Cricetulus griseus: one gene and its partner. The protein of the gene in region 2 purifies or fractionates together with the protein of the main gene of each other region. This does not show direct contact. Links are inferred from orthologs where the notes say so. Each region holds a gene or a part of one and is shown on either strand. Other genes may lie near its edges.

Region 1 (4,475 bases), on a different chromosome or scaffold from region 2:
ACAAAACAAAAAACATAAAATATAAAAATAAACATTGAAACCACCAAGCAACAACAACAAAAAAGCTCACAACACACACAATCCCTATTCTTAGGAAATATACACCAAGAGACTCACAAGTTAATGAAGTGATTCTATAATTTAACCTGTAAAAGTTCAAGATGGCCAGGAGGCGGCGGCGGCAGTGAATGCTTTTAGTCCCCAGCACTCGGGAGGCAGAGGCAGGTGGATCTCTGTGAGTTCCAGACCAGCCTGGTCTACAAAAGCTAGTTCCAGGACAGCCTCCAAAGCCACAGAGAAACCCTGTCTCAAACAAACAAACAAACAACCCCAAAAGGTTCAAGAAAGGGACTGGAGAGATGGCTGTTAAGAGTCCTGACTACTTTTCCAGAGGAATTGGGTTCAATTCCCAGCAACCCACATGACAGGTCATAGCTGCTTGTGACTCTAGGATCCAATCCCTCAAAGACACACATGCAGGCAAAACAGCAATGCACATAAAAAAAGATATATAAAGTTCAAGAAAAAACTGAGAATGAGCCGGGCATTGGTGGCGCATGCCTTTAATCCAAGCACTCGGGAGGCAGAGGCAGGAGGATCTCTGTGAGTTCGAGACCAGCTTGGTCTACAAGAGCTAGGACAGTCTCCAAACCCACAGAGAAACCCTGTCTCGAAAAACCAAAAAGGAAAAAAACAAAACAAAACTGAATGGTGATGCTTGCCTGTAATCCTAGACTTGAGAGGCTGAGGTAACAAGAGCTCAAAGGCCAGCTTCAGCTAACTTTTAATTTGAGGCTACTATGGACTAGAAGCTGCCCTGTATAAAAAAAAAAAAAACACTAAAAGTACAGAAAAATACTGTATACAAACACACATTACACTATTCCCACACGTCAAAAAAATCAAGTAGGGACTAAAGACATATCTCAACAGTTAGGAATACCGGTTATGCTTCCAGGGAACGCATTTCAATTCCCAGCATGGTGGCTCACAACCATCTTTTTTTTTTTTTTTTTTAACTTTTATCTGCATTTATTTTATGCTGAATTTATTCCCGTGCCGTAAGTTTTGTTTCTTCAATTTCTTCTGGGATATCTTTCTCTTCTGTGCAACCTCCTCTTCTGGCTTTGGAACAATCTGTTCCTTTTCCGTGAGGATCATTCGATGTGGCAGGGGGAGCTCATGAATGGGCTAATCCGCCGTGAGCTCTGTAAATTCGTCGACGCATCTTAGGTGCTTTGTTCACCTGATGTGTTCAATGACCAGAGAATCTAAGTCTAGACCCTTAAGCTCAGCATTACTCTCTGCATTTTTAAGCATGTGCAGCAAAAATTCAGCACTCTTTTTCGGCCACCGACCCTGTGTCCAGCCCCAGGCCTGGGCGCCTGCTGATTCCACCATTGTATTGCTGGGATGGCACACATTGCTTCTTCAATGTGATATCTTTCAGGTATTTGGTGGCTTTTCGGATATGCATACCCTTGATGGCCTGGGCAGTTTCACAGGTATTCTTAAAGTGAACCCGGAGATTTGAACCTCTTGACTTGCATGATTTTGTAGGGTTTTCTGGGTCGAGAGAGTATCGAACCATCTTCACAGGTTATCTCAGGTAGCTTCACTCACAACCATCGTTAACTCTAGTTCTAGGGGGTCTGAGGCCCTCCCTTCTTGCTTCTAGAGGTACTAGACAAATATGCAGACAAAACACCCATCCATGTAATTTTTTTTCTTGTCAAGACAGGGTCTCTGTAGTCCTGTCACTCTAGACCAAGAACTGGAACTCAGAGAGATCTATCTGCCTGCCTCTGCCTTCTGAGTTCACTGCCCAGTTATAAAATGAGTATTTTAATGTTTGCTGAAGTGTATAATGCATGATACATAACCTTCATGTAGCCAAAAGGGTAAACATACCTGAATAGGAGACGGCTTTTCCCAGCCCATTTCAAAAATTCCCATTAGCAACTCCCGTTTCAAACAGTAATCTTCAAATTCATTTCCTTTTGTGGAAGTCACATCCTAATGAAACAAACAATAAAATAAAATGGAACCCTGGTTCTTTCATAGTTAGCATGCTTTAAAAAAAAGTAACAGACCTGAACCCTTTATCCACTTCAGCTTAAAAATGCATATTACTACTGTTTTAATTTCTATTTCAACTTTCCCTGGAGAGTAACTCAACAAATATACATCACTTAAAGATGGAGCTTTGGGGAAAGCACCTATGATCAGTCTAAGGCAGAATATTTCTACATAAATAACATACAATTAACTACAGATATGAAATAAAACCCCAGTTCCCCTACTCACTAGCTACCAATATCTTTGGCTATGTCTTTGGGTTTCTCAAGCATAGAGCTTTGACATTTGTGGCCAGGCTGACATTGGTGTTTTGAGGCTATTTATAAGGATCCCAAGTTGGCAACAAAAAATACTTCTAGCTATTGTTACAAGAAGTGTCACAAAAATCACCCTTGGTTGAGAATATTGGGATAAAGAACTTCTCTGAACACATTCATACATAGTGGATACAATACCTAACCTGAATATAGCACTGAGAGGCTGAGGGGGAAAAAAACTGAGAAAATTAGGTAAAGATAGCAGCTGGGGGTGGGGTGGTAGGGTAGCGTCCACCTTTAATGCCAGAGCTCTGGAGGCAGAGGCAGGTGGATCTAAGTTTGAGGCCAGCCTGCAATCACAGAAGTCTTGTCTCAACAAAACAAAAACCAAACAAACAAACAAAAAGATATGCATGCAAACACACATGCATGGGCACCCACAAGCCAGCATATTTCTTAATATATATATATATACATATATATATGTATATATATATATGAATTTTTAAAGCAATCTAATACCTATTAACCATACAGTTTCAATCATTTCAAATTGCTTTAAGATTAAATATATATGTTGCCTCTACTAAATAGTGAATGAAACCCTATCTGAAAAACTAAAGATGCTCAAAAATAAAATCTAGTTGCTAGCCTGATGGGACATACCTAACTATACTCCCAGCACTAATAAGACTAAGGAAGGAGAACACTGATAGTAAGCCTGGACTATATAGGACATTATTCTCAAAATAGAACAAAAAATAACAAAAGGACTAAACACATGGTGTCATTTCATTCAATTACTTTACTTGTAATTGCCCCTTCCTTCCATTTTTGAATTCTACAACCCAACTTACCGAAGTTTTGATTCTTAGATCCTTTGGAGGGAGTTTTAAAGTCTTTTTCCAGTCATCACCAGGTCTAGAGAGAATATAGTAAACATAGTTGTCACAATTCATAGCTTCCCTGTTAATACAAATGAAACCTTTCAAATAGTACTACCTCTCTAAAAAGCACTTAAGTTTAACATTCCCTGCACTTAATTAACAAAAGTGTTAACTTCAGGAAACATGTTCTTTGAGAAATCATCTAAGGAGGATGAACTTAGTACAAGTGTTTGTCAAACACATCTTATCTGATCTACTAGTCTTTTTAATTAGCTACAAACATTTAACATCTAGATTTCATGTAAAGGCTCAGTTTCTAGATTTTCTTGAAAAAATGCCAAATCCACAACAGTTCAGAGACACTTTGGCAATAATGTTTCAAGTTCTTGTACCGTAACAGTAACTGCAACTTTTTATTTTTTCTTTTTTAATGATAAGAATTGAACCCAGGTCCTTGGAAAAGCCAAGGAGTTACCAGTGGGCTACTTAGTAACCAGAACTTAATATCAACAGGTGATGCTTTTAAACAGTAAGTACTTTCTAAATCAGCACAGTACCCTATAGTCATCCAAGCCTGTACTTCTGGTAACTAGCTGATTCTTGTTAAAACCAAGAGTGTCTGCAGTCCCTGCTACCCAGGAGAATGAGGCAGAAAGACCACCTGAGCCTGGTAGTTGCAGGCTAGTCTGAACAACAGAAAGACCGTGACTCAACACACCATACAAAACCACACAAGTCCTGACGTTTCTAACAGGGGTTAAGTCTCGATTCTATTCCTTATTCCTTCCATGATGCCGCACCAATTACTTCCCCAACCCTCTATACTATCATATACAAACTGGGTGTCTAAATCAATAACATATATAATGATGGCACGATGACATTCACCAGGTGATTCCAGCACTTTGGAGGTGGAAGTAGTACGTTTAGGAGTTCAAGGTTACCCCTGTTACATAGCTACTTGAAGGACAGTCTGGGCTGCCTCCAAAAAAAAAAAAAAAAAAAAGCTAACAGTAATTTACGTAAACAGTCAGTACTAACAAAGTAAGAACTTAGTACTTAGCATTATCTGTTCCTGGACATCCCAGTCCTTTCACCCCAAGCTTCATTTATCTAAAGCTAGAGCCTGCATAAAGAGCAGAGTCTTTTTTTCTTTTTAAAATTTAAATGAAAGCTTGCTATATAGACCAGGCTGCCCTTGAACTCATGATCCTCTGCTTCTGCAGAAACCACTGAATTTTTTTTTTAATCA
Region 2 (4,475 bases):
TTGGAGTTTTGTGTGTAAGTCAACATTGGTTTCCTTTTTCTCTCCTGCAAAATTATAGAAATTTTTGAAGGTGAGAAGGAATTATACACAGAACAAAAAAACAGACATTGAGACCCCTTACAGCTATACCTAGTTTCCTTAATTTATCTAGGTAAATAATTACAGAATGACTTGATATAGACACTGAAGGCAGAGAGGCTTTATGTACCCTGCTGTTTTTGGTTTTCAAAGCCTGCCACAGTTTGGCCACACAGCCAGTATATACAAAAATGTGTTTACATTTATATGAAGATGAAATAATGTGAAGAAAAGAATTATCATTATGCTCACATAACACCTACATTTAGAGCTGGCTGCTGTGTTTTAAGATTACTTCTAAACTCGAAGACAAAGAAAAAGGCAGTTAAGCCGGGCGGTGGTGGTGCTTGCCTTTAATCCCAGCACTCGGGAGTCTGAGGCAGAGGCAGGCAGATCTCTGTTGAGTTCAAGACCAGCCTGGTCTACAAGATCAAGTTCCAGGACAGCCTCCAAAGCCACATAGAAACCCTGTCTTGAAATACCAAAAGAAAAAGGCAGTTCAGATGGTGATTATAAATTTGATAAGGGATATAAATGTCAGAGCTCAACTTTAACTATGACTTAAGGTCAACATGACTTTACGTCAGGAGAGCGAAGAGTACTCACTTTCTACTCTGCTGCTGCCTCTGATGCAACAGGCGCCGGTGCTGTGGATGAAGGTGAGTTGTGTCTGGTCTAAACATTGGGGCCTGAGGTCTAAGAAAAAAAGGAAAATGGTTCTTGGTTATCTCATCTTGATGACTTCATTTTAAAAAAGGTTGTCAATACAGGATAATGTCAAAGGTTCACTCAAGGGATTTCCAGAGTTTATTCCAACTGTTATTTTTAAATTTCTTGGATGACTATGAAACACCTTCAGGGTTCTTTCAGTGGACTACTTCAGTGCTTTAGTAGTAAGCAGTATAATTTTTTTTGTTCCTAACAGGGTTAATTCATTTAGCTTCAATTTTTTTGTGGGAATGACATAGAAATTTTATGTATGGTAGTTATTTTACATGTCAATCTAACCATGATACCCAAGTTTAACCAAACTCTAGTATAGACACTGTTATGAAAACATTTTATAGACATGATTTACATTTACAATCAGTTGACTTTAAGAAATTGCCCTCCATAATCTGGGAGGCCCAACAGCCAAAACTGAGAAGTTACTCAGAGAAGAAACCTGTATCAAGATGGGAAATGATGTTCTGCTGGGTCTCTAGTCTAATGGCTGACATACTTCAAGGTCAAGACTGCAATGTGACTCTTTAAGTTTCTAGCCTACTAAATGGATTTCCAATTTGCCAGTCAGTTCCTCGGATTAAAATTAACTTTTTCCACTTATATGTATCTTCTATTGATGTTTCTCTTCAGAACATGAACTGACACGATTTACATAATATGACACAATTTTACCAAAGCAGAAACCAAGTTTATCTCTTTATAAAACCAGCAACTCAGCTGGCACTCAGATCAGCTAGCTTCTTGGCCTTTGTTTCTATCTGTTACTCAACTGTGGTAATTCTTCAGTCATCAGCACTGTGCATTGTACTGCATGAATGTTCAAAAAATGGGTATGAAGTGCAACTCCAGTAAAAGTAAAAGAAGCAGTTAATTTATCAAATGCAAAGGAAGCATGATACTCCGGAGAACAGTGTAGAAACTGAAGACTCAAGCAGTTCTCTGACAACCTGGGGATCCAGGAACTATACTTCTTAGCAAGTATCACAAGAGTTTTATATCATAAAACTAAATGAGAAATGAAACTTTCACACTATAAAACTAAAATGGACTTGGCTGACAATGATCAAGAAGCATGTTTTGTATACCTTAAGTTTTGCAGGTGAGGTCCTGGGCCAGGAGGATGCTGTTGGGGAGGGGGTGTAGCAGGGGGTGGAGCACTAAAGAAGGCACGGAAGCCTGGTGCTGGGGGAAGTATCTGTCCAACTCGCCCTTGTAGCAACTTAGGATTCATGGCAGCCAGGGGGCTACCAACAAATCCAGGGACTCGTGCAAACTGGCTGGGAGACATACGACCAGGCTGTAGCTGCAAAGAGGAACAGATCTTTAATGTAATAGAATTAGCATTTCCAACAGGCCCCACTTCCCTTTGTGACAGGGTCTCATTATGTACTTCATGCTGTTTGGAAACTCCCTGTGTAGCCCTGGCTGGTCTCAAATACATGATCCTAACAGAACCCCTCCCAAGTGTTGGTATTATAGGCATGCACTACCAAAAAGGTAAATACTATTTCCATTAATATCTCCACTTGAGATAACAAAGTGGGGGTGAGGTGGGAGTGGGGAGATGTGTCTAACAGTGAAAGAAAACAGTGTCAAGCAATGACTCTTAGGATAGTAGGATCATCTTTATGGGTATGGCTAACTGTAGGCTTACCTGTGCTCCTCCAAGAAGCTGTGCTCTCTGCAGGGGACTGAGTACAGGAGGAACACTAGGAGGAAAAGGGTGGCCCAGAAGGGACGAATTCTAAGGACACAGAAAAGAGAAATTATGTTCATATTATGGATCAAGCAAATCAATAAATTAAGCAAACTCAATATAAATTTAGCATAAAGTTAGATGCAAAAACTTCCTTGTATCAGAAAAGAAGGCTAGAAATTATGAAAGACTACTTCCATAGAACAAGAAAAAGACAGCATTAGAATGAAAGACTTAAGCAGCTGAAAATAGGAATGAACACAGATTCTTTGTGTGCTTTTCCTTTTGTTGAGAGAGAGTATTGCTAAGTAGCTCAAGCTGGTAGCCTGAAACTCACTCGCTATGTAGACCAGGCTTGCCTGGAATTAAGGATCCTTCTGCCTCAGTCTACTGAGTGCTAGGACTACAGGCATATACAGTAATTCCCAGTCGAGCAAAGAATCTTAAAGTGGCACAAAACAGTAAATTTTTGTCCTTTGATCTTGGGACCACAAACCCCAGAAAACAAGGAGAGATTACCAGAAATTCATATAATATAGGAAATGTCAGCTCTACTACATACTAAAGGTGATCATGAAGTTCACATTAAACATGTGTAAAGTGACATACCGGGACACTGCAGAGCTGGTTTGGAGACATCCTCTCACCATAGGGAGCAGGATAACGTGGTGGCATCGGAGGTCGTACATGAACAGGCTTCGGACACAGAATCTATTAAGACAAATATACACAACTACATTGAATGAAATCAGTCTTTTGCCTTCCTACACTCCCTCCCCTCAAGTACTGGTAGAGACACAGAACTCAATGCAAAGCCCTATTTCTAAGCAAATTGCTCTGGCTATGGGTTCAAACACTGAACCTTTGGTCATTTCCTCTCACAAATCAGTTTCATCTTAACTGAGGAAGATTTAGCTAATTCTCCAGTATCCCCACCCTTCCATGCTATCTGAGGGAAGTACCAGCAGACATTCTGACTTGAAAATTTTCTCCAAGAGGATATATTTTGGTTATAGTGAGGGACAAGGAATGATAAGAAAGCTGGAGGATTAACTAAGTCCTTATTCTGAAGCCTCAGTGATATGGCCGCCATGCTCAGCAATGTTGGGATACATTGTGACTCCACCATTTCTTAGGATATTGAGCCTAACTAGGCCATACCAACACCACCCTCCCCCCATACCTTCCAAATTGGCCTTCCTTTTCAGCTGCTGGTTTCAGGTGGAGGAAAGTCTATGGAACAGGACTGCACAGGCTCTAGGGAAAGCAGGGATATCTTAAAGGTAAAAAGGGATGTGGACAATGCTGAGTGTTCCCACTCCCCCCAGCTTTCAGTTATCTTTCTGCTAATGTACCCGGCAGCCAGCAAAACACTTAAAAAAGGATATATGCACTAATGTGGCTAACTACTCTCTTCTCTCCCAGTTAAAAGGTATCAGAAGCAGCAGCAGCAATTGTATTAGGGAAATGTGTCTCATTTGTACTAACTTCTTCTCTAATTGGCTATTCTTTAATGCCTACCCACAATGTCCACCCTCCTCCCTGTATCCCAAATAATTTTGCCCAGATTCCCAATATCTTGGGCTGTGTACGTTAAGGAAAGGTACCTGTTGGTTGAAGCTGGGAACGGCCATCTGCTTAGGTGGGGTGCCTATAGGAACGGCTCTAACAGGAGGACTTCCAATGACAGGTGATGTAGAACGCCTTGGTAAAGCTCGCTCAGAAAGGTCTCGATCATCTTCTGGGCCCTGTGGGGGCCTCTGAGGCAAGGCATATTCTAATACAGACACCGTAGGCATTTCCTAATTGAGGAAGTGGTTAAAAAGCATACAGAGAAATTAGCTAATTTGTAATGTTTTAATAGTCTCTATAGATACCAAAGATACCTTGAGAAACTATCTTAATTTTTATTTAATTTTAACTCATATACAGTAAAAAGTCATCCTTTAGCATACAATTCTGACTTCTGATAAAT

Evidence for each region. The genes of interacting proteins can lie anywhere in the genome.
Region 1: the proteins of Patl1 (region 2) and Ddx6 purify together in Homo sapiens (affinity purification with mass spectrometry; 6 studies listed by BioGRID and IntAct, with this or other methods). This does not show direct contact. The link is inferred for Cricetulus griseus from reciprocal best matches to the Homo sapiens genes PATL1 and DDX6.

The regions. Positions count from the first base shown.
Region 1 is NC_048597.1:156,297,521-156,301,995, reverse strand, and holds part of Ddx6 (probable ATP-dependent RNA helicase DDX6), read right to left. Parts: intron 3,258-4,475; coding exon 3,194-3,257; intron 2,017-3,193; coding exon 1,912-2,016; intron 1-1,911.
Region 2 is NC_048596.1:48,682,743-48,687,217, forward strand, and holds part of Patl1 (protein PAT1 homolog 1), read right to left. Parts: intron 4,303-4,475; coding exon 4,108-4,302; intron 3,212-4,107; coding exon 3,110-3,211; intron 2,549-3,109; coding exon 2,459-2,548; intron 2,108-2,458; coding exon 1,890-2,107; intron 775-1,889; coding exon 685-774; intron 1-684. UniProt on the Homo sapiens protein: RNA-binding protein involved in deadenylation-dependent decapping of mRNAs, leading to the degradation of mRNAs. Acts as a scaffold protein that connects deadenylation and decapping machinery.